Linked DNA regions of Oryzias latipes. The protein of the gene in region 3 binds, or shares a complex with, the protein of the main gene of each other region. Links are inferred from orthologs where the notes say so. Each region holds a gene or a part of one and is shown on either strand. Other genes may lie near its edges. The genes, in order: armc7, ppil2, gpkow, rbmx2, rbm48, cript and snrpe.

The links.
Region 1: gpkow (region 3) and armc7 share a complex: the UniProt entries of both Homo sapiens proteins name them as parts of the minor spliceosome. The link is inferred for Oryzias latipes from reciprocal best matches to the Homo sapiens genes GPKOW and ARMC7.
Region 2: gpkow (region 3) and ppil2 share a complex: the UniProt entries of both Homo sapiens proteins name them as parts of the minor spliceosome. The link is inferred for Oryzias latipes from reciprocal best matches to the Homo sapiens genes GPKOW and PPIL2.
Region 4: gpkow (region 3) and rbmx2 share a complex: the UniProt entries of both Homo sapiens proteins name them as parts of the minor spliceosome. The link is inferred for Oryzias latipes from reciprocal best matches to the Homo sapiens genes GPKOW and RBMX2.
Region 5: gpkow (region 3) and rbm48 share a complex: the UniProt entries of both Homo sapiens proteins name them as parts of the minor spliceosome. The link is inferred for Oryzias latipes from reciprocal best matches to the Homo sapiens genes GPKOW and RBM48.
Region 6: gpkow (region 3) and cript share a complex: the UniProt entries of both Homo sapiens proteins name them as parts of the minor spliceosome. The link is inferred for Oryzias latipes from reciprocal best matches to the Homo sapiens genes GPKOW and CRIPT.
Region 7: gpkow (region 3) and snrpe share a complex: the UniProt entries of both Homo sapiens proteins name them as parts of the minor spliceosome. The link is inferred for Oryzias latipes from reciprocal best matches to the Homo sapiens genes GPKOW and SNRPE.

Annotation. Positions count from the first base shown.
Region 1 is NC_019877.2:19,373,009-19,377,193, reverse strand, and holds armc7 (armadillo repeat-containing protein 7), read right to left. Parts: upstream 2,801-4,185; 5' UTR 2,554-2,800; coding exon 2,463-2,553; intron 1,715-2,462; coding exon 1,571-1,714; intron 1,488-1,570; coding exon 1,144-1,487; 3' UTR 497-1,143; downstream 1-496. UniProt on the Homo sapiens protein: As a component of the minor spliceosome, involved in the splicing of U12-type introns in pre-mRNAs.
Region 2 is NC_019867.2:622,324-625,823, reverse strand, and holds part of ppil2 (peptidyl-prolyl cis-trans isomerase-like 2), read right to left. Parts: intron 3,220-3,500; coding exon 3,144-3,219; intron 2,568-3,143; coding exon 2,461-2,567; intron 2,187-2,460; coding exon 2,097-2,186; intron 1,029-2,096; coding exon 995-1,028; intron 367-994; coding exon 249-366; intron 128-248; coding exon 71-127; intron 1-70. UniProt on the Homo sapiens protein: Has a ubiquitin-protein ligase activity acting as an E3 ubiquitin protein ligase or as an ubiquitin-ubiquitin ligase promoting elongation of ubiquitin chains on substrates.
Region 3 is NC_019865.2:21,307,798-21,312,063, reverse strand, and holds the start of gpkow (G-patch domain and KOW motifs-containing protein), read right to left. Parts: upstream 2,801-4,266; 5' UTR 2,772-2,800; coding exon 2,578-2,771; intron 2,398-2,577; coding exon 2,228-2,397; intron 664-2,227; coding exon 518-663; intron 1-517. UniProt on the Homo sapiens protein: RNA-binding protein involved in pre-mRNA splicing. As a component of the minor spliceosome, involved in the splicing of U12-type introns in pre-mRNAs.
Region 4 is NC_019872.2:23,468,251-23,472,250, forward strand, and holds the start of rbmx2 (RNA-binding motif protein, X-linked 2), read left to right. Parts: upstream 1-1,200; 5' UTR 1,201-1,303; coding exon 1,304-1,308; intron 1,309-2,842; coding exon 2,843-2,958; intron 2,959-3,040; coding exon 3,041-3,092; intron 3,093-3,160; coding exon 3,161-3,290; intron 3,291-3,365; coding exon 3,366-3,552; intron 3,553-3,621; coding exon 3,622-3,899; 3' UTR 3,900-4,000. Other genes in the region: ap4m1 (AP-4 complex subunit mu-1), read right to left, coding at 350-407. UniProt on the Homo sapiens protein: Involved in pre-mRNA splicing as component of the activated spliceosome. As a component of the minor spliceosome, involved in the splicing of U12-type introns in pre-mRNAs.
Region 5 is NC_019869.2:21,761,754-21,765,568, reverse strand, and holds rbm48 (RNA-binding protein 48), read right to left. Parts: upstream 2,554-3,815; 5' UTR 2,539-2,553; coding exon 2,377-2,538; intron 1,916-2,376; coding exon 1,725-1,915; intron 1,643-1,724; coding exon 1,497-1,642; intron 1,281-1,496; coding exon 745-1,280; intron 739-744; exon of another isoform or gene 654-738; coding exon 591-653; 3' UTR 501-590; downstream 1-500. Other genes in the region: efcab1 (EF-hand calcium-binding domain-containing protein 1), read left to right, coding at 1-88, 213-317, 390-440; pex1 (peroxisome biogenesis factor 1), read left to right, coding at 2,748-2,855, 3,495-3,641, 3,741-3,815. UniProt on the Homo sapiens protein: As a component of the minor spliceosome, involved in the splicing of U12-type introns in pre-mRNAs.
Region 6 is NC_019877.2:12,480,875-12,484,916, reverse strand, and holds the start of cript (cysteine-rich PDZ-binding protein), read left to right. Parts: upstream 1-1,242; 5' UTR 1,243-1,355; coding exon 1,356-1,371; intron 1,372-1,574; coding exon 1,575-1,640; intron 1,641-3,012; coding exon 3,013-3,067; intron 3,068-3,215; coding exon 3,216-3,319; intron 3,320-4,042. Other genes in the region: pigf (phosphatidylinositol-glycan biosynthesis class F protein), read right to left, coding at 1-83, 600-827. UniProt on the Homo sapiens protein: As a component of the minor spliceosome, involved in the splicing of U12-type introns in pre-mRNAs. Involved in the cytoskeletal anchoring of DLG4 in excitatory synapses.
Region 7 is NC_019863.2:23,629,254-23,633,267, forward strand, and holds the start of snrpe (small nuclear ribonucleoprotein E), read right to left. Parts: upstream 2,801-4,014; 5' UTR 2,632-2,800; coding exon 2,578-2,631; intron 1,393-2,577; coding exon 1,366-1,392; intron 1,284-1,365; coding exon 1,221-1,283; intron 530-1,220; coding exon 451-529; intron 171-450; coding exon 115-170; 3' UTR 1-114. UniProt on the Homo sapiens protein: Plays a role in pre-mRNA splicing as a core component of the spliceosomal U1, U2, U4 and U5 small nuclear ribonucleoproteins (snRNPs), the building blocks of the spliceosome.

The DNA.
Region 1 (4,185 bases), on a different chromosome or scaffold from region 3:
TAAATCCCTTTGTGCATTTGACCAATCGGATGGAGCCCTTTTATGTTAGATGCTCGCCTCATAGGTAGACGAGGGTCATTTGGAGTGTAAATAATTGAAACTATTTACATTTTACGAAACCCTTGTGATATCTTAGATGACCCCACCCTTACATCGACGTGTTCTCCCTACCATGACAAATGTGGATAAAGGTGGAAAGATGTCATGTAATCCATTGACACCAGTGAAGATCACAAATCATTGAAGAAAAAAGGTTTAGCGCACTGTCTAGTGGGTCTAGATGACCCAACTCCCAACGTTAAAATGTCTAGGATAGCACAAGGGTTAACCCTTGTTGTTGTAAAATTAAAATGCAGCTGTTTTTGCTATTTGTTGATATGTAGCAAGTATATTGTCATCGCAATATTGATCACCAATGTTGCAAATTTTCCTCATATCATGCCGCCCAAGTCAGGACTAAAGGGAGGAGAGCCAAACACTCACACGAAGGCAGAACTTCTGTAGATTTTTTTTATTTCAATAAAAGACACCTGAATTATCCAGACTAAGAAAGCCACAAACTTAGGCTTCCATGAGGTTTGGTATTTCTGCTGATTAGTGACAGTTGGTAGAAACGTATTCCTCCCATGAAAGCAGGATAACTTGGGTTTCTATATGTCTTTTTTTTTTAAATCTAATACGACTACAGACAAACTTTCCCTCATTTTTCCTTTGATGAGTATCTGACCTTTTCAGTTGGTGTCCAACATTTGAAAGGAATTATTTTCTGTCTAGTAAAACACATCTTTACCATTTTTCCATGAGAACAAATATACTCATTTTGCTGGAAGCCTGTTTTGAGCAAATTTCAAATTACTTTTATAAATGTACTTGTGCTTAAAAACATACAAAAACCATCTTAATATTCAGATTCTGATCCAGTGAAGACATGAGTCCTGTGCAAACTCCAGCTGCAAATGAGAGGAGGTGCAAGACCTGGACAAGCAGCTTAATTTTCCTCTCTTCATAACCAACTTTAGGGTGGATTTTGTTCAAAGGAAATCCTCCAGATCGGTTCAACATCTGCTGAAAACACCAGAAATTAAACAATCATAAAACCAAAACGGTCACTGTTTGTTTCCACTTGACTGTGAAGCAAAGTCTTTAGTCTTTGGGTAGTGGGATCCCAACAGCCATCTGCTGTCCCTGCATCTGCTGCTCGGCCTGCCTGACCTGATCCTTGGTGCAGCAGTCCTGCAGGAACACAGCAGCTAGGTTGTGCAGCCGGGGACTCTCAGCAAGAGAGAAACGCAGCATGCACTGCAAGATGCCTGGCTCTGTGAGCTGAGATTGTGAAGCTGGAGTCACAAGGTTCATAAGGGTAGTAATTGCTGATAGCACTGTCTCCTCCCTCTGGTTTGACAGACAGTTTGTGATTAAGCTGATGCCGTCACTGTCCAGGATGAGGTCCCTGCAGTCTGGGTCCATACTGAGGTTACAGAGCCCACCTGAGAAAATTTAGACCAAAAAAAATGTTTTTCACTGCATTTATGGTACAAAAAAACCCAAATGATAATCTAAAAAGATTCACCCATTCCAAACTCAATAAAGTTCTCGTTCTTCTCAGTCAACATATCCAGAAACAGGTCGGTCACTTGCAGCTGTCGCAGATACTCTGTGTTCTTTGGGTCGTAAGCAAAGTTGGCGAGGTTTGCCAAAACCTGCTCCTTTGCCTCTAACGACAACAGAACATAAATAAAAAACACAGAATCAGATTCAAATTCAATTAAATTACATATACTGGACATTAATGACTGAAACGGGAACAAGGACCAAAAGCAAGATAAATTTAATCCACCAGAGGGCGCTTTTTTACACCTCAACATTAAAAATAAGACTAAAGACCTGCATTCCTAAAAAATTATTGACGGACAATAATATGTAGTTTGATCCTTTATATATTGCATATAAAAGGCTGCAAAAGTCTATCAGCATAAATCATTAAATGGCATTTGTTAAATTTTGGTTTTATTGATTTTTAAAAAACGTCATTATGCATTTTTAATTTAGTATTCAAACATGATCGTCAGAATTACTAAAGCATAATTATTTAAAAAAAAAAATCTTAAAAGATAAATGCATTGTTTTTTTCCTGAATAATCTGTCCTGTTTCTAAGCATTCAGATTTTAAAAATTAAATTTTTGTAGTTTATATATATATATATATAATAAAATAAATAAAAATAAAAAAATAATTATATATATATATATATATATATATATATATATATATATATATATATATATATATATATATATATATATATATATATATATAAAGTGACTATCATGGATTGATATAAGTAAGACATGCTTTCATTACAATGTTTATGCATTAACAATTTAATTTCAAAGAATTTGTTGTAAACTAGCAATAATTCTTAGTTTTTCTAAATGAATCTGCGAGCTATTTGTGTTTTTACCTTCACTGTCACTATCCTGAAACTCTGTGACAAGAGCCTGTAAATATTCAAACCGGTCAGAGGTTTCGGGTGAAAAGTTCCGTTTCATCATTCAGTATCTTATATTGTGTTTTTAAGAAGACAAACGCGCGATTAAAACAAAAAAATAAAATACATTTGAAATAGTATCCTCATTTATGCATTTGGTTTCAGTAGTTCGTTCATTTTGTCCGTCTTTCAAATACGTCCGGCTTAAATTAGAATTTGGACAGTGGTTCCGGGATATTGTTTCGTGACTCTTTTTTTTTCTTCTTCTGAAGACTGGATGAACTGTTAACGCAACAGAATAACAATTAAAAATGAAACCCAAAAGTAGAATTAAGCTGTTCTTACATAAAAAAGAGCTGTCAATTTATTTTATCACTTAAAACGTTGTGATTTTTAATAATTAGGCCTATAATGTTTCGGTAATAAATCACTTTGATTTAATTTAATTAAATGATTACTTTTTGTCATAGACGATAAAAGCAAATTACTTTACGAAATTCAATTCTCAAACGGAAGTCGGTACTTCTTTGTCGACATAGACGTCAGTGCTGGACCGGAAGTTGAGGCGCTCCAACGTCCCTTCAGCTAACTAACTCACGCGCAGGAAGGTCAGCTGAAAACAAACTCACGTTTCTGTTGCTGTTTGGATTCTATGCCGTGAACCTTCTGATTTAAAGTTCTGCAGCAATGAAGCCTCACAAGCTCTCTGCAGCTAAAAGGCTCACGAAACCTATTCTGTTCGGGAGCATCATTGTTGGACTTGCCACTGTTTACATAAACAGGTGATCTATTTTCTTATTTTGTATAAAACAATAGGAAAGTTATAACGCAAATATAGACTTTAGTCTATATATTCAGAATATTTTTTTATGTGTTTAACGTTGGAGATTGTTGTCCTTGCGTAATGACGCTGACGTTTGATTGTAATCAAGTTTAAGAAAAACACTGAAAACATGTCTGTACTGTCCTTAAGTACAAATTAACATTGGAGCCAAACCATAATTTCATTAACAGGAAATTTTGTCTTTAAATATCTTTAGTAATAGGAAAAATACAACTATTTTTATTTTGTAGCCCTTTTTATTTCCAAAGCAAGGCATCACAGACACATACTCTTTCTTTGCACCACAAAAAATACTAACATTTAATTATATAAGTGTAAGACTGCAGGTAACAGCATTTTTAATTTATAATTAGTAATCATTTGTAATGAGACACTAATGTTTTTAATTAGTAGATTATTTAGCATAATTTCAGTTTTTGACCAGTATCTTCTACAACCTGGAGTGCAATTACTATTTAAAATAAATTAAAGAAATCTAAATAAATGTCTTTGTAAAATATATCTTTAAAATAAGAATCTTTTTTGTAAAACATATTGTGTTATTGGAAGTGGGGGGCTTTTTCACTTCACAAATTTCTCTTTTCTACATTGGTGTCACGTTTTTGACACTTAGTGCAGCTGCTTTTATCAGATTACATTTTTTAAATTTTTTTTAAATTTTTTTGTGTGAAATCTGCTCTGGTTTAGTTGGTGTACTGCTGCAGAGATTCCTTTTCTAAAAAAAAGTTTTAAAAAGAATTTGAGCTGCAGATTGTGCTTTTCCAAACCAGGTTACTGTCTTAAAGAGAGCCCATTTTTGCATTTTGTGGTTTAAAATGCAGCTTATTTTTGTGTCCTGTGTTTGTATTTTTC
Region 2 (3,500 bases), on a different chromosome or scaffold from region 3:
TGCAGAGAAGACGACCAATCAGAGCAGCCCCAAAGCTGGATCTGTGGGAGATCAGCCTCTGGAAAGGTACCTTCCAAATATGGTGTGCTTCCTGTCCAGGTGGGGGCAGGACCGGAATGTGATGAAGCTGAGGAGGAGGAGGAGACGTTGAAGAAGATCTGCTCCAGGCTGCAGCCCAGAGAACATGAAGAACATAGATTCAGTTTCGTGTTTGGGTTTCCTCGGTTCCAGGGACCAAGGTTCCTTACAACTGAGACTTGTTGGTGTTCGGACCCGAGTTGGCCATGCTGAGGACCCCCCGGCCCGCGTGGGACAGGTTGGGCCGGAACTCGTCCTTGAAGGGTTTTCCCCAGAAGGATTCGCCACCTGAGCAGAACCGAACCCACAGAGACTTCAGAACCAAACCTGCCCTAAAGGAAGAGATCCAGCAGCCGTGTGCACGGACCACACAGGGTTCCAGCTAAGAAACATTATGGGATGTCCAGCTGGAGATGGAGCTTCCCTCTCTTTGTGGAGAGTTTTGTGCGTTTCTGCGGCAGCAACAGTCTCAGGTTTGGATCAATGAGGATCTTCATCTGATCCCAAATGCATTTTATACTAAAGACAACAGAAATACGTTTCCGTCTCATTAGAGACGAGCCTCCAGGAGAAGAGGAACGCTGGTCCTAGAACCCGCCGCCGCCGTTCAAAGAGACCAAGATGGGTGTCATGTGGTCGGGTCTCACACATATAGCGACAAACATGTGGCAGTCGTCGGCATAAGGTGGAAGTTCACCTTATGAAACAGCATTCCCAGTGGCAGCAAGTAGATAGAAGATAATGGGCCCGGTCCCCCCCCCACAGACAGACAGACTGCCCCCACCCCAAGTGCCCCTCGGTATCTTTGGCAGCCCTGAGTGCCTCTCTCAGGTCCCCACAGGTTCAGCATCTCTAAAGAGGACCTTCAGTCATTCAGAGCCGCTCCGCCACTGAAAGCGGTCCAAGCTCCGCCTACCTGTGCCGGTGCCGGTCGGGTCTCCTCCCTGGATCTGGAAAGAGAAAGGGTCAGCTTTAGAAGATGGAGATGCTGTGTTCCATCACCCGTTCTCTGGATGTGTGCAGAGCTCCTGCTCCACGTGGAGACGTTCAGGTCTGAGTGCAGAAAGGTTGACGGGTGGATCGTAGTGAAGGAGGAGCAGAGTCCATGTTCCTCCCCTCACCTACAGACTCTGGGTCGGACCAGGAGGAGATCCTGGATGCAAACGTCTGGAAGGGGGGAGGCAGTGGCTGCTCCTTAGAGGGAGGGTGAGGAGCTCAGCAAAGAGCCGCTGCTCAGGGAAACTCCCCCAGGAAGGAGACCCAGAGGAACCGTGTTCCTCAGCTTGCCTGGACTTTGGGGTTCCCTGACTGATCTGGAGAAAGGCTCTGGATGGAGGACTGGAGACCAGCGGTTAGCCTGCTGCCCCCCGACTCCTCATGAGGAGGAGGAGGACGGAGGGAGCTTGGAAAAGGAGCTGGACTTGATTTGGATCTGAACGGGTTTGGGTTGACGTTTCCTCTTTAATCAAAGTACCCAAATATGTGAATATCTATTGCAGCTTTTGATCAGCAGACGCTCCAAATATTCAAACCTTTGGGACCCGGCCTGTTCAGCAGAAGCAGACCTCCCCTCTAGGGCTGCACGATATGAGGAAAACTCGTGATATGCGATATTGGTGATTAAAATCGCGATAACGATATAATTTGCGGTATATAAACAAATAGCCAAACAACCAAAAACATCATTTCCATTTCACTGCAACAGTATAAAAATTATACTCCAAATGACCCTTGTCGACATAGGAGGCAAACATCAAACATAAAAGTGCTCATCTGATTGATCAAAAACGTAAACGGGTCCTTCTGATTGGTTAAATGCATAAAGGGATTACTTGCATTTGTTCACCATTTCAGGCTGCCATGAGTTTGTTTTTGCAAATTTGAGGTAACCATTTATTGCGATTTTTGCCGTCTTTTGCGGTATGCATGTTGCACAGCTTGATGTTGCGATGACGATAAATTTGCGGTATATTGTGCAGGCCTTCTCCCCTCATTTGCTAAAAGCGTCTCTTCCTCACCATGAAATTCCGGATGGACCTGTGAAAGGCGGTCCCGTCGTAGTAACCCTTTTTGCACAGACGGATGAAATTCTCTCCAGCTTTGGGAACCTGGTTTGGGGGGGGGGGGGGGGGGGGAGACAAACACTGACGGTCAGACACGAACACATTCCAGGTCTGATGCTGCACCACTTCCATCCTACACTCCCAAAAACCAGCCGAACGCTCCACGTCGTCATGACGACGGTATTTAAAAGAAAGGAAACTGTGTTTCTTGTTTTATGGTTCTGATGTTTTTAGTACCAACAGAGAAAAAAGATCAAATAAAAAACGACTACGGCATCAATAAAGGCTGCATGGGTTTAAACGCAGCGTCTGACGTCACCTTATCGCAGTGCAGCTCCAGGTTCAGGTCTCCCAGGTTGGTGTGCAGGCGGACGTAGCCTTTCTTCTTCACGTACTGGTACCGCACAGCATCATCGGCGATGGCGTCTGCCACAAAGACAACGGTAAAAAAACGAACACCTGAAACGTGCAGACAACAGCGACCGCTGCACACATGGGCCGCTCCAAAGGCCTCAGACATATTGGGGTTCAGTCGTTCCTCTCTGAGCAGATTGGGTTCAGACAGTGGAAACGCAGGGCGAACTGGATCTCAGTCCGATTGGAAATAACCGAGACCACCTCAAACGATGGGTCCCAGTGGACCCTGATCCTTCTGGATCAGGGTCCACTTTGGTGTATTCAGACTAGTTCTGGTTTACTTTACGTGAACCAAGTGCGTCCAGTCTGAATCCAGCCTTAGAGGAGCGTCAGGACTGGACCAGCCGGTTCTGCTTCAGAGAGAAATCCAGTGGACCCAAAAAACATTGCCTTATTAGAATTCATAGAAAGTCTAATGTACCGCCTCAGGATACAATGACATAAACAATAATAATAGCTTTTATTCCCTTTCATTTATCTTTTTAAAGTCAGTGAACACGGCTGCATCCCAGCAGAAGCAGCAGACAAAACCAGGTCAGCGGCTGACGTGCAGAGGAGAACCCACAGGAACAGATCCTAGCTTACCGGCTTCATGGATGGTTGAAGGAGTCATGGCTGTGGAGGTGAAGGAGGCGGAGACTCGGCCTGTTGAGTAGTGGGCCTGGACGGGGACACAGGCAAATGTGTCATGTTTACTTTCTGCATGGACTCAATGATTTCTAAACCAATAGACATGCTGTTCTCTCAAAGTACAGACGGAAAAATGCAGAAAAACAAAGAAGGAGAAGCTCACATCAAAACCCATCTGCTGTAAACAGATTTAGAACCTGTCAAAGACCGGCTTCCATCACAACAAAGAACAAACAGGCAAACAACAAACAAACTAACAACCACCAAACAACAAGCTAACAGGCAAACTACAAACAACCAAACAACAAGCTA
Region 3 (4,266 bases):
TTGTGACATTTTTCACATGAAGGAGGGCATATATTGAGAAAATAAGGTTCAAAATGACATCTCTGAGTATTTCTTTATTCAAATCGTTGTGAATCAGGAGCAGATGAAAAAATATGCTGGCAGGGCCACAAGCTCCCCGCTTCATCCCCTCAGTTATGGGGAAAGGAAGGGGGGGCGGGGTTGCTCTGTGCCATTGGTCCCGACTACAACTCGGACGCAAATTCTGAATTAACTCCTGCTGCTCTGCATAAGCTATGTCCTGGAAAACTACAGGTTTTTCAAAAACTGCATCATCACGTGGGAAAGCTTTTACAATAGATCAAAATATGATCGGACTAGGACTTCAAGCTTTTAGGTTGTTCATCCAGTTTAATATGCATTCCTTAACTTATAGTGGGCAATTTAAATCTTTGTTCTAGTCGAAGGACTTGTTTAATCATTCATACGATGGAAATGCGGTCAAAGAATTAATGATTCCTTTATGGAAAACACACAAAAGGTCATGAAATACACTTACGGATTCAGGACGTAGCCCCACATTTATTAGGTCTCCATCCTCGAAGCCCTCTGGCACTTTGTTTTGCATCAACAGAGGGATGGAAAGGTTCAGGTTTTTTTCTGATTCAGACCCATTCTGCCACTGCTCCAGCTGCCTCCGGGAATCTGAGACATGAGAGAGCTGATGAGTCTTTATATTTCTTTATTAATTAAAGTTTAGATATAGAAGCACTGCAAATAAGTAGGTGCAGCTTTGACATTAAACCAGGACCTTTCAACTGTAAACTTGGAGAGGTTAAAGGCAACAAAAGTGATCAACAAAAGGTCCCCACATTCGTTAAAGATTTTAAGCACAAATATATCCTTTATTCAGTGAGTTTTTTCAGGTATTTGAGGAAGAAATTTGTCTTTTTTTTTTGGTTTTATTGAACAACAAAGTAAATTAACTTTTGATGCAAACATTTTAAGAATTCTTTAGTCATTTACTCATTTGTAAGTAATTAGTACACATCTAGAAATGTGACACTGAAGTCTTTTATCTGAAAAATTGCCTTTGAAAATGTTGTCACTATAGGATCCTTATAATGCCCTATATTAGAAAGAAAAAGAGGCTTCAATTGAGTATACAAGATTTGATTTAGCCTGAGAATGTAGGCATTAATTAGCACCCTTGGCTCACAGCGACAAGGCTCTGGTTCAAATCCCGGGTGGAGTTTGCATGTTTTCCTTGTACCGGAGTAGGTTTTCTCCGGCTTCCTCCAGCAGTCCACTTAAAAGATCCCTTAAGAGTGAGTGTGTGGCCCTGTGACGAACTGGCGACCTGTCCAGGGTGTACACTGCTGTCACCCATCAGTAGCTGGGACAGGCTCCAGCAACCCTATCCCCCGAGGGGGATTCAGTAGGTTTAGAGAATGAATGGATGGAATGTCTGATAATTTTAGGTCAGTTAAACAAACCTTTTTTTTTTGTTTTTTGTTTTTAAAAGGAGGATTTATTCACTACGACGGAGTATTAGGTCCTTATTTTACATATGAAACTCCGCTGACACTGAACCTCGGAAAGCCGCCTTTACTGACAATAATCTGATTTTGAGTCGCCAAAGGTTCAGAATCTTTGTTTTAAACCTATAATAATCCGAAAATAAAGCTTCACAAAAGGCTCCACATCTTTCATCTTCAAGCGATGATCCGATAAACGGACAACTTCGGTGTCTTCTCCTTGTTAATCTATGACTTTTTCTCGTAAATTTACGAGATAAAATGTCGTAATTTTAATTTTTTTTTTTTTTTTGGTGGCCCTAAAACTCCGTCGTCATTTACTGTATTCAGAAAACAACAGATACAGTTTCTGAGGATGAGAACACAAGAAATACTTGGGGCTCGGGATGTCATACTGGGAATAAAAACAAAGCAGACTGGTCCAATCACGTGATATGACCAGTGTGTGCCTGTCTGTAGAGGATGATACCTCAGGTTTCTATGGCAACAGAGGTGGGTCCAGGGCATCATAAAACCATGGTGAACTTTGTAAAAAAAATAACACATCATCTACATTTTGATCCATTAAGATTAAGTAATAGACGCATCTGTCAATTTATTATGCTAAGAACATCCTTTACCCTAAATTAGACCTTTCACTTTCCTAGAAGAGCTTTATAGAAACATTTAGAGTAAACATCTCCATGATAGGAACTAAATAAAGGGATGACATTTAAAGCTTTAATGATTACCTTCAATAAGTTCTTTGACAGCCTGGGACTCCACAGAGTCGCTGTCTTGGCCTTTTTCTTGAGCTTTACCGTCATCTTCCGTGTTCTGGCCCGCTCGGTCGGGCTTGTGCCAGCGGTTCTTTTGGATCAGAGGGATGATGAGCTCTTTGGGTTTCTCCGTTTGTTTTGAGCTGAAGGACACAAAAAAATGAAAATAACCAGAAGACAGCACAACTTAAAAACACGCGCTCTCCTGTTTAAATAAAGAAGAAACAAACACAGAGCGTATATGTTAAATTAAAGACATTTTACTCATAGATTCGGAAACGCAAATGCTACGTTGATGCTAGGCGTTATTAGCATTAGCTTACCTTTGTAATTCCTTTTCGTGAATCCCGGTCAAGTAATCTTTTTCTTCTTTCTTCTTCGACTCCTCCGCGCTGGGGGTTTTAAATTTGTTAACTGTTTTTGTGAACCCAAATGACACCATCGATGTTTTCTTCTGGCCCTTGTCCTCAAATGGGACAGATTTAAAAGCCGCTGTTCCTTCTCCCTGAGCCGCCATGACTGCTTTTGAAGATCCACGCTGAAGCGGTGTATTGTGGGAGTTGTAGTGTTGGTCATCGCCCTCAAGCGTTTCTTTTGTTTTTCTGACTACATTGCCCATCAAGCATCAAAGCGTAAAGTTACATAGCTTATATTTAGCTGTTTAAAGTAATGACAAAAATCAATTAAACTAATGTAAAAGTGATTTAATAAATGATATTACATACAAAAAACCATAAAGAGTAAAAACATTTTACTAATACAAAAACATTCAGCATATTTTGCTTGTGTTTTAGATGCTTAAATTAAAAAAAGAAAGTTAAAAAAGTAATCTAGACCTTTAGATCAAGTTGTTTGACACTCATTTCTGACCCCTTGAACACAAACTAGTAAACAATGTTTGATCAATCTAACCAGTTTGATTGATTCATTTTATAATCTAAAGTCCCAACTCCAATCATCTTTTGATCTATTGTAAACGCATTCCCAGTGATCTTTTATTTATGGTGATGCCATTTTGGGGAATTTTAAAAAAATCTGTGTCGTTTTCTAGGCTATAGGTTCTGCAGAGCTGCAGTATTTAATCAGAAATTCGCCTATGACTTGTGACTTGTAGATGGGAATGTTGGAGCAGGGTTAGCCTGTCCTCATTTCATTTCCCATCATCCTTTTGTTTACACTCTCTCCCGCTTACAGCCCCTCACAACCCCAACCTAACAATAGAGGTGCAACAAAAATGGTGACCAGTATTGGAGATATCGAACTGTACAGTTTTGAGCCAGATGCCAGCTCAGACAGGGAAAACAGACATTCATGTTCGAACAAATATTTTCCCATCAGTATTTGATTCACAACGATTTGACTGTATATTCAGAAGTGCTATTTCTTTATATATGTCCACCATCATGAGAAAAAGGCCACACCAAAACTAAATTTAATCAGAAATTAAACTTGATTTTTAAAACTTAATTTTAAAATGTAACATCTTTCTCCCATTGCTTTTCTGTAGTTTAGAACGAAAATAGTACGAGTTTGTTATCAGTCTGTTTGGACTGAATAGATAGATGATCTGGTTTAAACATGCCTTCACATTATGTCTGCCTTCCTGTTCCTGCCTTAAGTGAGACTTTACAGCGAAAGGTGATACCACAGATCCAGGTAGTGCACAGACTGTTTTAGGGGGCGGTACTTGAACTCTTTTCTTTCCTGCCCTCCCCTTTGTGTTCTGGAACTTCTCGAGATAACCTTCAAACATGAGACATGTGGATTGTTCTTTCAGAACAAGATCGCATTTAACGACAGTGAGGCGTCAACCTTGGTATATTTTCGGCTTGATCTCGCCTGCCTCCACTCTCCGACACCTTCACTCACTCTAATCAATGCAATTTTTAATTTTCTTAATAGGGCGTCAGTTATTGGCTCTACTAAATAGCTTTTCTGGAAGAAACCCCATGTGATCTGAAGACTTGAGACTTAGGGAGAAGGAAGGACCTGACATGCCGAGCGCGAATATG
Region 4 (4,000 bases), on a different chromosome or scaffold from region 3:
AAATGTTCCAATGTGAAAATACGTCTGGAAGCAGCATCACCATCATAAACACACTAAAAGAGGAATGGACAGACCATTTGGAATGATTTAATGAGAATGCATGGACGAACTCTAATTAACACATGATTCAGATAATTTTTAGGCCTTCAGAGAAGCCCATCACCATTGAAAATAACAACTTTAAAACACCTGTGTCTGACTGATGCAAAAAATGTACCCCAGATGGGCAAGTACAAGTACCCCTGCTAGAGTAAGTCTGTCCCAAAGGGGAGATCTTTCACTGTATAGCAGAACTGAACTTCAAAGCAGGATGATTTAAACAGAAGCAGGTGAGAGCTGAGAAGGATACAGTCTCTGAAGAGGAGGGGGTCGCCCTTCGAGGACAAGATGAAGAGCTGCCGGATCATCCTGCAGAGGATAGAGGACTGTCGGGGCAACAGTTCACCCCGGTGGGACAGCTAGGGGGAGTTTCAGTGCCACTGCAACATCTGCAGAAACAACATCTGCAGGAACACGTCCAAGTCTGTCTGCAGAACTGCAGTCAAGCCGAAATAAAGGAGAAAACCCCTGTTTATGGGGGAAATGACAAACAAGCAGCATCTCATATTCACTGCATGAAACTAGTTATTATGAGGAAAAAAATAAACTAACAATAAACAATCAGATTGTCTGGTGTGTGCTACTGTAGGTGTGCGTCACACATTAATCTCAAACGTGTTAAAGGTGACACTGAGTAAAGCGGAATAGGGTAAAGACAAGTCGAAGGAAAACTGAATTTACCTGAAAAGATGACACAGTTCAGACGTTTAAACTGAACTTTAAGTGTTTTAAAGCCATGCTAACGTGGAATTACAAATCATTTTCCAGTTCCACGTAAAATCTCCTGCAATGATGTCGACTCTAAGAAAGGGTGTTATTTAAACATTAAAAGCTTGAAAAACACAACACGCTTTAAAACGTCCACTGTCTGGTTTAAGTGTTGCATCCTGTTAAAAATGAACTGTTAGCTTGTTAGCGCCACCTGTCGTGCAGGCGGAAAGATTGGACGCTTGCTTTTTACAGACAGAACATTCAGCATTTCACAATTTCTTACAAAAATAAAATAAATACATTTCTTGTTTATTAAAAGCAGCATTCGGGCAGTGTTAGACGCTTCGCGTTCGCGCAGTTTTCTCGTTCATTTCATCTGTAGTTCGGTCATCCAACCACCAGGCGGCAGCACACGCAGAACCTCCACAGGAAGTGCACCACTTCTCCACGCTTGGTCTTTGGCACCATAACATCGCTGCTGTTCGAGCTCACCATGAAGTAAGTAAACGTTTCCCTCTACAGCCATTACATTAGTTTTTATTTTTCATTTGGTAGAGAATCCCTTTTCTGGTCGTTGGTTTCCTGTTGAGCGGATTCCAGCCGATAGCAGCAGGCTTTATGTTTCGTGTGTGTCGCCTTTTCCCCATTTCCATTCAAATTCTCCACTGTAGAACTTCAAAAACTTCTAAAAACTTCTAAAAAATCAAATTTGATTTTTTTAAACTTAATAGACCAGGTACTGAATAGCCACCTACTGAATTCGTACTTGCGTTTGATTGTATTTGCATTTTAGAGGTGTAACGATTGCATACCAATCAGTGGTTGTTGATGTGATTCAATCATTCGATAATTGTTCGTTTTATCCGATTCAGTGACCTAATGGATCCAGGACATCTTTATCCAAAACATCATCCAGTGTGACTCAGCGAGAAATACCTGCTACTGAAATGTGAAGTTTTCCAGATTCCTTAGATTTCTTCCAAGATAATCAAGTTTAAATTAAATATGTACAAACAAAGAATTAAAATCAAATCCATCCACATTTTAGTTTCCTGAAGTTCAGCCCACTGTTGTTTTTCCACATCCAAAGAATCCAAAGGGAACATTCTAGCACACTGTGTGGTCACATGACTTTCTAAATTCAGTTTTGGACTGGAATGATGGTTGATCAGTTTTTGATGAAATTACATGTTTTTTGTCTGCTGTAATGCACTCTGTTAATTTTGATTGTGTCTGAATTCCTTCAATACTCACTACCTAGGGGGCACTATGTAGTGCACTATATATTGCCCTATATAGTGCACAACATTCACCATGTTGTAGTGCTGTCCGAACCTACAATTTCAAAGTCGAGTGCCCTAGAAATTTCCCAGAAGTCTCTGCGAAAAAGCAGTGTGCATCGAGTGAATATAAACCACAATGCATTGCGTCGAACAGTTTTTGCAATTTTCTTTTTTTATGTTAGGGTGGGAACTTGGGGCACAGCCTTTATGTTATAGTAAAATGACCTCACCAGGTCTCAATCCAAACGGTGGTTTCCAATATCGATTCAATAGGCAGAGCTGAAGGTAGCAGAGATGAAGATGTTGAGGTTCTCTTTGGGAGAGACCAGGATGCATCAGGAATGAGTCCATCAGAGGAGCAGATCATGGTTGATATTTGGGACATGAATGCAGATGGAGATGGTTTGGAGGAGCAGCAGTGATGATGCTGAGGTTACAGAAACCAGGAAAGAGGCCTAGCGGAAGACCACAGAGGAAGTTCATGGATGAAGAGGAGGGCATGAGGGTTGTTGGTGGGGACGATAGAGGAGAGAGCTGGATGATTAATGTAGCAACTAAGAGACAAAGAAGATATGGTTGAAATCTTCATAATGTTCATTATGTTGAGATGGTGCATAAAAAAATAAATTGATGAAACATGAATATTAGAAAGCTGACCTTCAGGTTTATTTCACTTTGTTTAAATGAACAGAATCTTGACTGCTGTCTTCTAAAACACTGAAAGTTTCCTGCCGGTTGATTTGTTTCAGTCCTCTGACGAAGGTGAAGCTGATAAACGAGCTGAACGAGCGCGAGGCCGACCTCGGGGTCAACGAGAAGGTGTCGTGGCACAGCGAGTACCGGGACAGCGCCTGGATCTTTGTGGGTGAGGGGGCGGAGCTTCTCACAGGAACCTGCAGTAAATGAAGCGTGAAAGCAGGTGGTTGACGTCTGTTCTGATCCTGCAGGAGGCTTCCCCTACGAGCTCACAGAGGGGGACCTGCTCTGCGTCTTCTCTCAGTACGTACCCACAGCCTCGCTTTGGGGTGGGGTGGGGGCACACACCGCTTACTGATGTGTCCGTTCAGGTACGGTGAGATCGTCAACGTCAACCTGGTGCGCGACAAGAAGACGGGAAAGTCCAAAGGCTTCTGCTTCATCTGCTACGAGGACCAGCGCAGCACCATCCTGGCTGTGGACAACTTCAATGGCATCAAGGTGAGGCCCCCACCCCCCACCCGGGGCGGCGCCACTGTGAGCATCCTTAATGATGAAGCTCTTTCTCCCCTCCAGATCAAAGGACGCACCATTCGCGTAGACCACGTAAAAAACTACCGCCCCCCCAAAGACGGCGAGGACATCGATGATGTCACCAAACGCTTGAGGGAGGATGGCTGCGCCCCCACGGGCCCTGCCGCCCCCCCGTCCTCCTCTGAGGATGACGAGCAGCTCGTCATACCTGTGAAAAAACCCAAAAAAGGTGAGGTCACTTCCTGTTCTGTCATTTATGAGGGGGAGGGTCAGTTTCACCTGTACTCTTCTGCTGCAGACAAAAAAGAGAAGAAGAAAAAGAAGAAGGAGAAGAAGAAGAGCCGAGCTTCCTCCTCCTCACCTCCCATCCGAGTCAAAGAAGAAAAACGAGACACGGCGTACGACAAGTACGCCACGGGGGGGTCACAGAACGGACACAATGAGACGGAGAGGAGGAGGGAGGAGAAGAGGAGAGACAGAGATGTGGAGAGTAAGAGAGAGACTGAACGAGAGAGGGAGGACAGAAGGAGAGGAGAGAAGAGGAGAGAGGCGGACAAGGAGAGCTCCAGAAGATAGATGGAGGAGTAAAGAGAGGAGAATGATACATTCTCTCCTCAGCAGAAGAGCTCCCCCTGCTGGCTGACATCCTCCTGTAAACAAAGCTTCCATGAGAAGCC
Region 5 (3,815 bases), on a different chromosome or scaffold from region 3:
GCGGCTTGAAGAGGAAGGCAGAGAAGACGACTATCAAGATGAACAGGATGAGATCAACGAACTGATGGAAATTGTCCTCAAAAAAATGGTGAGATGTTGCCCTCCCATCTGCCTTTGTCACATTTGGATCGATGTTGATTGTAAGAATTTTGTCTTGATGTGTGCAGATTTATTTTGGTAACATGCCAACATTGCTTCCTGTGATTCCACAGGACCACGACAAAGACGGCAGGCTGTCTTTTCAAGATTTTGAGAAGTCTGTAAAAAAGGAGGAGCTACTCCTTGAAGCCTTTGGAAGCTGCCTGCCCAATTTCAGGGTAATCACAACCAAAAGTTGCTGAGCTTAAAAATATTGTAAGGATCTATTTAACTTAAATCTTTCTTTTTAGACAAAGAAGAAGTTTGAGCAGCAAGTACTGGAAAAGCAGCAAGATGAATAATAAAATATGAAGTGCAAGCGGTGTTCAACTTTGAGACTTTCATGAAAGAAAAAGCCAAAATGTTTTTCTTAAAGTACAATTTTATTTTAAGTTGAGCCTTTCAACGTTAGTTTTGATAAATATGGACAGTCGTCACTAAAACAGAATGGATCATATCCGACGGCGTGGCTTAACCTTCTTCTCCGCTGGTTTGAGGTCTGGGACCGATGTCACCTAGGAATGAATGAAAAGAATGAGACTGAAATGCACCAATATGGCATCATGTCAAGCTCTAATTCTCATTAAAAAAAAAATAAAAGACTACCTGCTTCATTGTGCCCCTGATCAGATTTACTGTTGTGTTTAGCGACTGATCATTCATGTCCAGCTTATGTGGTTCTGGTAGTTTTGGTCCAATCAAAGACGGTTCTCCAGAATCAGGCACTGGCTGTTTTGTGGCCTCCTCCATTTTGCGGCGTTTGTTCTTTTCCAAATGTGCAGTTCTTGGAACAAGCTTGACGGAAGAATCTGGGTTGGAGGCCAATTTTTTTTCGGAATTAGGGTCTTTACTGAAAGAGCTAAAGTTCTGGACTTTCTGCTGTTTTACGTCAGGAGGCACTGCGTCATGTAAAGTCCCCATTTGATCTTCTGTTGGTTCGTTCCCACGATAATCCTGATGAAAGTATTCCTGCGGGGGTAAAGGCAGTAGAGGAAATCCGGAACAATGGCTGAAGCTTGAAGTCTCGCCTGTTTTGTCACTATTGAAGATTGGATTATTTGTAGCAAAAACTCTGCTTGATGTGGGAACGCTTTCTGAAGACGTAGATTCCATGTGTACCGCATCCGCTACTCTTTCTTTTGCTGTATAAACATGAAACAGATAAATGACACTCATCAAATTCTTTATCTATACTTTAAACTTACAAAACAACAAAAAACATTTGATTTCAGATAAAAATACACAAAAAAAATTTTTTAATCACAGTTTTTTTTCATTGAACTTTTAAAAAACAATTACCTAAGAAAAAAAAGATTCAGTGCTTTTCAACACCGTATATCGTCAAAATGCGATAATACCTCTACTCCGAGCCACTTTCAGAACATAACTTCTCCTGTCCTGCAGCTTTAACTTGGTGTCTTCCACAGACTCGTACTCCGGGACGTAACACACATGCAGCACGCCGCCATAGAAACTCTTCTCATCCATGTTACGTTTCGCCGCTCTGGAACATCAAATATCAACCTGAATGACATATTTTTCAGCATTTCTGGTTTAGGGCAGTACAGTTAAGGTGCCCGCCATACCTAGCACTTGTCAGTTTTTGAAACTTGACCAGGTAGACTTCTGTGAACTCCTCAGCAGGATACTCGTCCAGCGGTCTGTATTCCTCCACTGTTCCATAAAGAGCACACAACTGGATCAGCTCCTCCATCACTCCAATAGCGGGGACTCCCTGGATCATCACATAACGGGACTCTAAATTTATTGTGTAGACCTGGCAGATACAAAGGCATGGTTATTAGTATATGTGAGGCTGTTGACGTGACCAATAAAAATCAATTAACTTAAAGACATAATCATCAGATCTGATGTACTTTCCTGCAACTCAGAAATCCAGTCTACTGTATTAGAAATTTGATTTTTATGGTTTATTAATTACAATTTTTTCGAAATGACTCAAACTTTTTACCATGTCTTTTATTTAATTTTATTTATTTATTTTTGCCAAAACGACAGTTTTATTTGTTTTTTTAAGACCTGCCGTTGGTCTTTTATTTATCACTTGCTGTGTGACTACAATTTATACTTTTTTCTTCCAGTTAAAAAAAAAGATTTTAAAATTTTCTCTTACATTCTTAAATGTAAAAATAAAACCAACTTACACATAATTATTAGCTCGTCGCTTGCGTCAACACAGACCGTCTTTGCTACAAACATTAGAAACGTTTTTCTTACCTTGACTGCTTTAGCTCTCCTTCCATCTCTATATTTGGGTCTAGAAAAACATGCGTTGTGTTGTTCGTGATGTTTGTAGACTTCTGGGACCTTCCAACAACCAGGTTTACTGTTGACATTTGCCGCCATGTTTGCTGAAACGCGTTTCCGCTTTGGTGGCATTTCAAAACAAGAGTTCATTCCGTTGTGCAGAGCACTCAACGTGTAGTGTTGACGACGTGGCAGTCTTATTTTGAAATGATCGATTCCATCGACAATCGACTGTTTTGTCTGGATCAGTTCTCTCATTCATCGAAATGTTTGTTGCACTTTGGCCGTTAGCGCACCAGCATGTTAAGCACTTTAAATGCTAAAATAGCGATGTAAACGTCATGTTTAGCAACCAGGGAATTCAACCAGTATGTGTTGTTTTTAACAACACTAAAAACTGCTTTATTCAACTCTCTTCAAAGCTGATATCGCACCTTTCTCTGAATGAGGTAAAGTATTAGCTAATTACTTAACATCGCTTCAGTTTTGTTGCATAAAGTTTACTGAATAATGACTGCTTTTGTGTTTTACACATTGCTGGTTTGTTTCTCTGACATTACAAGGGGACCTTTGGTTGCATTTAAGGTTTTAGTTTTTCTTAATTAAAACTTATAACAAAAGCAGAGCATTTTTTTATTATCACGTGTACTTAATTAGTATTAGGAAGTAATGCAAGGCAACAAAAAATGAATTGTTGGTAAAAATAGAAATTGGGCATCAAATACTGTCCTCATTCAGGGGTCTTTAGTCTAAAGGAAACTGCATTGTTTTGATTTTTAACACATTAACTCCTAGAAATAGTTTAATTTAGAAAAGGTTGATTATTATAATAACTAATGTGATCATCTCAATATTTCTATATTTTGCTACCACACCTGTGGAATATTTTTGCAATTTTTTAATTTAATTCTTCTGCTGAGCATAAAATCTGAAATGTATGTAATGATACAAAATGTACAAGAATAAAAACTAATAAAGGTATCACAAGTATCTAACATTCATAAAGTTGGAATCATAATTTCGACATCCGCTTTAAGAGACCATTCTGTGTCTTATTTCATCGTCTCTCTTTGGCCGGTCCGTTTTAGAATCAGGCTTTGGAGCTGTCTTGGGACGGCGGGTCGACAGTGTTCCTTAGCTGGTGTCCCATCAGAGCCTCCTTAGGAGCAGACAGCCACAGAGTGGAGTTGTCTCGGCAGCTTGGAGAAAAGCTCGGTTTGACTGATGGAGAACAGGTAAAGACCTTGGTTTCTTCCTTTAGGTCATCAACTGGGACGAACACTGCCTGTGCAACAGTCTCTTAACATTGGTCTGACATTGAGTGGTTTTCACAGTGTTTTCTCAGACCATGCCATCAAGTCTCTTCGCTGAATCAGGTGTTTGTGGAGCCACTGTCATCTGATGACTGG
Region 6 (4,042 bases), on a different chromosome or scaffold from region 3:
GGGGCTCCATAAAGGACAATCACAGTGTGGAAGAACAGACATGACAAGAAAAAGTACAGACAGGCACGAAACAGCCTGGAAAGCTGTGGAAAGAAACAGGATTATCATTATTACCAAAAAGTTACAACGTAGACATTTGAGAAAAATCCACTTAAAAAATGAACAATTTTTATATGTAAAAGCTCAGAAAAATTATTTTTTTATATGAGTTTGTTGTAGCAGAAAAATGTTAATAAGCAACAATTGCATATAGACTGTCATATGAATTTAAAATGTTTAACGTGAAAATAAAGCACTGTAGCAAATGTTTATAAACTCAATTAAAAATGTGTTCAAATCAGAAATACACATTTCTAATTATTACTGAAACGTCCATTTGCAAATTTGTTTTTTAAAAACGAGACAAAACGTTTACGAGTAAATAATAGGAATTAATTGTTTTGAAAAACCTAGTTTTCTATTATTTTAAATTGTGTAATAATTATTTCTGATACTTCTCTCATATACGTATGACTATTTGGCAAAAACCTTAAACAAATCAAGCACATTTCTTTGGGTTTGGACAAAATAAAGACATTTCCGAGGGAAGACATTCTGACCTTATATCCAAGTGTATTTTTTTTAGTGGACGGTGTGACGCCGAGGAGCCAGAAGACGACGACACTGACAGCATTCACAGCACCGGATGTGCAGTACAGCCACAACAGGTGAGTGCCGTACACCGAGAAGCTTAGAACAAAAACTGCAGGTAGCACCGTAGCCATGAACATCGAAGCGGCGATCAGAGCGTGGGTCGACACCATGGCTCTGATTTCGTGGTCCCACATGATGAAGACTTTCACTTTTCACAACAAGACAATAGAATAATGTAGATAATTTCAGTAGAGGTGTCTTAGAATTTTGGTAGGCGAAAGGACACGCAAATCCATGTATGACTACGCTTCCGTAAATATGAAAAAAAAAAAGCAATTTCCGTTTGCGTTTCACAATAAAACAGAAGATTCTCTTTTGATTGTTAATTTCTACCAATTTCTTTGTTTTGACATACATTACCCAACATATTTAAATCATATTCAACACTTTATAATAAAATACTATTTTCTAAAGTGAAATTTATATTTTCGAGTGCTGATTCCGTGGCGAAAATATTGTTACTCTCATTTTACTTTTATTCTGGATTTTAGAAATGCGCTTCTAGTCGGAGTGAACGAATCACATAACGTTTTACTGACAGGATTACCCAATGAGATTTGTTTGTACAAGTTGACGAAGACAACCGGAAGTTACATGAGCAGAGCTAGCTTGAACGCTTGTACACATTTTATATCAAGACAGGCCAAGTAAACGCAGCTGAGATGGTTTGTGAAAAATGTAAATATCGCACTTTCGCCTTGTTTCTTACATAATTTTACACTTATGACTTAGTTAATATAGTTAGTTAGTGACATTTTTGTTGTTTTGTTGAGTGGCTAATATTTTGTTATGCTAGCATTTGTTTTGGTTTTCCTTGCTCGTAGTTAGCTTTGTTAATTATTAATAATTCTTTGTTAATGTGGGATTTCCTAATATTTTAGGCGAAAAGAAGCTCGGAAAGGTCATCACTCCTGACACTTGGAAGGATGGAGCACGAAATACGACTGGTAACGTAGTCTCTATCCAAAAACATCCAAAAATGTTTACACGTTTAATAATTTAGACAATCGTGGAACGACAGGTAAAATAAATATGTTGCCCCCAAAAAATCTGTCTTGTAAATGAACGTCATTAAGGAATCGAAACGATGGAAGGAGAAGCTACTGCTAAAATATTTATTAGAACAGTACTCATTTACATATCTGTTTTCCCCGTCGGTCGGTCGGTCGGTCGGTCGGTCTGTCTGTCTGTCGGTCTGTCTGTCGGCTCATTTTCGGCCTACATCATAAAATTGTCTATTTATTTAAAAGTATTTATGCCCTACGTTCCTTTTCAAGAAAATGGTCTGTGACCCTGTCGTACCAACTAGGTGTCTCAACTGACTTGACCAATGTCCTCTCAATGGCCAGCAGAGCTAGGCTGCTTAAACAGCCTTAGCCCATTGTGTTTCGGGTGTAGGACTTAAGTCACTTTAAACAGGAGAAGCTCCTTTCTACACCTGCAGATGTAACTCCAATTGTTGCCACTAATGAGAACAGTTTGTAAAGCTGAGGCATTGGACTGTCCAACTCCATGTCTTTAAGGAACACCAAGTAATCATACAGCTTTCCCCTGTTACCCTGCAAGTCCTGATCTGAAAACAGGACTTGAAGTTCTGACCTCAGTCTTCCTGAATCAAAGGGAAGAATTAACTATCTAAAAAAAAATATTAAACTCTGTAAAACTGAAACAATCAATGTGGTGTATAATTGTGTGAAATGTATGATGAAAATCAAGCAATTTAGCCCAGCAATTATCAAAGAAATAGGTTGCAGCAGTTTTTAGTTCGACTGAACTTGAGAAATGTGAATAAGCGAAAAGCTTCAGTCAGAAGGCGGTCTTTTAACAGACCCTTCAATCATCACGGAGAAGCTCGGAGTTTGGGCTGGCCCACTCCCCACTCACCCCCAGAGACGCTGAGCATCCGTTGGCGGGACATAATCACAGCGTTTATCCAATGACCATCTAGTTTCGAAGCGCAGAAAAAAAATGTTCAAAGCAGCCCGATTGAAGTCAATGGACGCTGGGCTTCTTTAGAGAAATGCACTGTGATGCTGCGGGAATGTATGAGAAGGAAATCGAGTCAGGCGACTTGCTATATGTAACTGATTCTTAACGAACTCGTCTTTGAGATGAACGTTTTCTTACACATTTTTAGTCAATAAAATGTTAATAAAATAAAATACAATACAATACAATAGTACATATTTGACCATTTATTTTGTGACATTATAAGGGAAGCAGAGCTTCCCTTGCAGTCTTAAAGAAATCGCCACTGGTATGTATGTATGTACATACATGTGTATATATAATCTCACAATGTTGTTTTATTTTTCTTAGAGAGTGGAGGCCGTAAACTAAATGAAAACAAGATGTTGACATCTAAGAAGGCCAGGTGAGTATTGCACTGTGAAAAAACTTTTACTCATAAATCAAATGGCAGTGTAGTAGTTTCTAGCTTTCTGTAAGCACTAGTGGTTTATTTTGCTGTTAAGGTTCTTTGATGTTGCTAATTCTCAATGTTTAACTGTGGTTTTTCTCAGGTTCGACCCTTACAGTAAGACGGGCTTTGCCATCTGCAGAATCTGCAAGAGCTCTGTTCATCAGCCTGGATCGCACTACTGCCAGGGCTGTGCTTACAAGAAAGGTATAGTTGTGCACTTAAACTCTATTTTTATTTTCTTCAATACAAATTGAAGGTAACATGTCAAAAATTAACACTACAATGTATTGTAGAACCAAAAATCATATTAAAGCAGAACAGTATTAAGTAGGTTTTTCATTTTTATGTTCAGTCATAATATTGATATAAATTTGTCTGTAATTTTGTAAATCTTTACTATAACCAACATTGTGCTGGCATATGTTTGTGCTTCCATAACAGATGCCCATTTATATAAATGTACACATGTTGGCAAGTCCTTTATTATCTTCTCACTACACACTTTAATTTATAAAATATCCTTTGATGTAAATGTAATTTTTTTAGGGTTCCTGGTGACTGATACAAAGAATTTAAAGGTATAGGAATAGGTTAACTTAACTGTTTGTTTATGTCTGTAAAGTATTTGAACTGAGTGATGAAATTCAAACCTCAAAAGCCATATTTTTACAAACCTCGACCCCAGCCCCAAGCACTCGGCTTGCAGAAGTGGATACAAGGTTTTACATTGATTGCAGAATTGCATGTTGTGCCCCAAATATTGCAGGTTTTGATGAAGTGGTCAAAAATAGCCCCTGAGCTAAAAATTATGCCTGAATATATGCACAACCCAAACTGCTGTGAAACAACAACTAAATGGGCAAAAATAAAATATTTATTTATTGAGATGTTTGTCAAACTTTGCTATTCAAGTGAAACCCAAAGGCT
Region 7 (4,014 bases), on a different chromosome or scaffold from region 3:
GAAAAAAACAAAGCCATTTATTCTCAAAGGTTGTAGAGAAACTCACATTTATGCATAAAATCGTAAGCAGTTAACAGAAAAAAAAGACAGGATCTGCAGTCGTCACTGGTGTCACTAGGTAGAGACACTCTGCAGCAAGGTGATGTTGTCGCCCTTTAACATAACCCGACCTGTGAAACAAGGAAAGAAATTTATCTTGACATTTTAAAAACTGACATTCCTGAGTGTATAACAAATAAATACTGACTGGAAAAATATTTCTATGTTTTCCTCAAACAAATATTTTGTTACAGCAGTTCTAGAAACAAAAGCTAACAGTACATGTTAATAAATACAAAGAATATTCAAATTTTTCATTGTAAAATAAATAAATAAAGCTGTTCTAATAACTGCTAAGATCAAAAAATAGTAACTGAAATTTAACAAATTAAACAAGCTAAAGAGTCTTACCCAGTGGCTTTCTGTTCTTGGTCTTCATGTGGACCTCCTCAGCATCATCTAGAACCAGGTTCATGTACTCATCAAAGCCCTGGAAAATAAAATAAAAAGGAAATAATCAATTAACTACTTTCATAACTGAAGCTGTTTGGATTCATTTAAATTCAGGCTCTCAAGGTTTTTCCCCCCCAAGAAAACGGCACAGGTTGTTTGTTTTTATTTCGGCTAAAAACAGCATAATCATAGTTAAAAGATCACCGAGAATGTTCTGAAAATAGATTAAAGTGTCAAGAGTGTAGGACCGGCAATTTCAATTGGTCTCCTAATTCATGCTTAGTTTGTCATTATGCTGTTCTCATTGATCATTTACCTACTGTATTGTGAGTCTGAACCAGTGTGTGTTTTTTTTGTTGCCGTTTTCAAATACATTTTTAAATCAGCTGCAGAGTTCTGCTCTACTGGTAAGAAAGGTGCCCGCTGCAAAAGCAGCTAAAACAGAGCCCCAAAATAGTCGTAGAAAAAATTTCTGCAAAACAGTTTTAAGTTGATTATTGTGGATCTAACACCAGCCATTAAGAACTTTTACCAAGCTCCAATAAAAAAAATAACTAAAATGCTAGGTCAGTGGTTCTCAAACTTTCTCTTGTTCCCCCTTTTGGAGCGGAGAAGGAAAACCTGGAATCGTCGATCGTTTTTACAGTCTATACCAGTTTTAAAGTAACTGTGGCACACATTTGGAAAGTTAACAAACACTGTGAAAGTAAAATAAAGAGAAATCTTACAATGATGCAGCCTTCTATCCGCATGTTCACCTGCTCATAAAGCCACACCTGGATTCGTGAGCGCTGCAAAGCAAAGATGACACGAATCAGTATTTCAGTCACCACCGAGACAAAAGGTGAACCTGCAAGAGCCTTCAATACTCACGTTCTGAAGGTATCTGAAAATGAGGTTCTGATGAACAGAGTCAAGGAAATGACATGTCTAAACCGTTTCAATGTTACAGAAGATATTTCAAATAACATGAACTAGTCATTTCAATTTCAGTAGAGTGACACAAACTGTTTTGCACTTTAACCGGAGAGCTGAGATCCTGTTAAATACCAGTGAATGTCATACATTTCAATGTAAGCCAGTGAAAAAGGACTTCACAAACCAATTACATGACCGAAATGATGAAATAAAGCTATGGATGACGCAGAATTTGCTCGAAAGTCCCACTCAGATCATTTTGATCTATTTTTGAAGTATTATCGGCGGTCTTTTAACGTTAGTTATGCCTTTTACCAGCTTACAGAAATTCTGCAATTGTTCTAGAGTTTTACAGTTTACTATTTAACTTCTGCTGATGTATCCACGTTATAACGTAAACTGTAGGGCAACCATGTCAAAACAACTGAAGACACGCTTAAAAATGGATTTAAAACGGGTTCTGGCATTAGATTTTCTCTTATTTATTGACTTTGTTAGGGGTTTTTTTACGAGTCAAATTTTAATGGTATTCTTAATTTCTTTAACATCTTTTTTATTTTTTTATAGATGACATGTCACTTCATAATCAAGAAAAATAAGAAAACAGGTCTCACACACTCACAGGGACAAACTTGAGTTAAGTTAAAAACCAAATAAAAAACTACAAAATATGACCAATTGTTACAACAAATCAAAAGAACATTTAATTATCAGACCAAAGTAGTGCATTTAACTAATATTATTAGTTTAAGTCGTTAAGTGCAACATCTCGATTGTTGACTTCTTTTTTCACTAAAAGAAAACTCTGCCAAAGGTAAACGTGTCATTGTTTTCTTCTTTCCAATTAAACAAACGTATTTTTGTAAAATGTATAATAGTAAATTGATAACCCATCATATTGCTATGTACGTTTAGAAAATGCTAAAAATGTTTGTTTCAAATTCAATTTCTTTCGAAGTACAACGTCGTGCTTAAATTTGATCGATAAACAGAAAAATACGTGCTTCAATACTGAAATTAAAAAAAGTCAGTAAATATGCATTCCAATGTATTTAGAAAGTCATGTAGTACCTAGAAAAAAAAGGAATACAGTTTACCGATGAGCAAACACGAGAAATAACCGATTAGCATCGCTGCTAACAAATGCTAACAGCAAAGAAAGGATACAATGGGCTGCACCATAACCTTCTGCACCTTCTGTCCTTGTCCTCGGTAAGCCATTCTCTTCACACGCAAAAAAGACACGCAAGAAGTATTTCGTTAAAGAAATATTGCCTTTTACAATTGAATGATTTCAACGTTCAGCTCACGATGCCAAGTTGCCTTAATGGCGGGTTTCTTTCCGCATCCGGTTCCTGCACTGAAAGGTTTCCCTTCACCGAACAAGCGCCACCTACAGGCAGGATGTCAATACTGCACAATTTGATATTTGGTCAAAAATTACGTTCAGTGTGAAATCCTTCAAATATGCAGACTAATTATGACTTATAAAAAGTATGAAAACACATCTGGTACCAATTAAAAGGCTAAATTTAATAATTAAGTTGTTTTTGAGTCACCATATTTTTTGTCAACGTCTGTTTCAGTACATATTTATTTCTTAATCCTGAAGGGAAAAATACAAAGGTTTTGCTTCGACTTTTTTCTTGTACATTTTCAGTAATCGTTTATTTTTGCTTGGATTAATTTCAGTGATTAACACAAGTACCAATAATATTTGAACAGCTTTCATATAGCAGAAAAGAAGGTTTAAATATTGATACATCAACTAGTTTGGATATAGCGTCATTTACTTCATAGATGTTCAATTGTTGGATGTATATAGTCTAATTTATCATTTAGATTTTTATTTTTTTATTTTCCTATTACACATAATATTAACAAGCATACAGATATGTAATTACTGTAGTTGTTTTTGCAACACAAATTCAATAAGTGAAAATTGTTGATAATTTTTGTAATTTTTCCATAATTGTTCAAACTTTTTATTATTATTATTTTCTTACAAGTAATTTTGTTTTCAATATTAGAGTTTAATTTTGTAAACTATTTCCTAAACATTTATCTTGACCAGGTTCTACTGTCACAGCAGTGACCTATTTTATCCAAAAGAGGGCAGCAGAGAAAAACAAAAACATAAGAAACAACTCGAGCCCAAGATGAACATTAGTAAAAGGTTTCACTTCACTTTCCTTATAAATAAACTTAAAGTTCTAATCTGAGTTCTACAATAAACATTGTTAAAAAGTGCAGTCGATTTAAAGAAGTTGTCTATAAAAGTATTTAGTCAAGAAGGTGAGAGGTACAAATGATTCTTCTTGTTCAGTAGTGTTCTTTCTTCAAAAAGGTTTAGAATTTATCGCATAACTTTTGTTTTTGATTAAATGTGAAATATATTTTCACCTGCAGATGCAGACCTATGAATTTAGCAGGAACATGAGCTCCATTGAGGAGTGTTTTTTCCCCACCTAAGATTTTTGTGAGCTAAATTAAGAATATAAAACATAAAAACATGTATGTGACTTTCTAATTACATGTGTGTTAAATTAAATTAAATTAAACCCCACTCTCTCTCACACACCTAAGTGTGCGAAATTTGTTTCC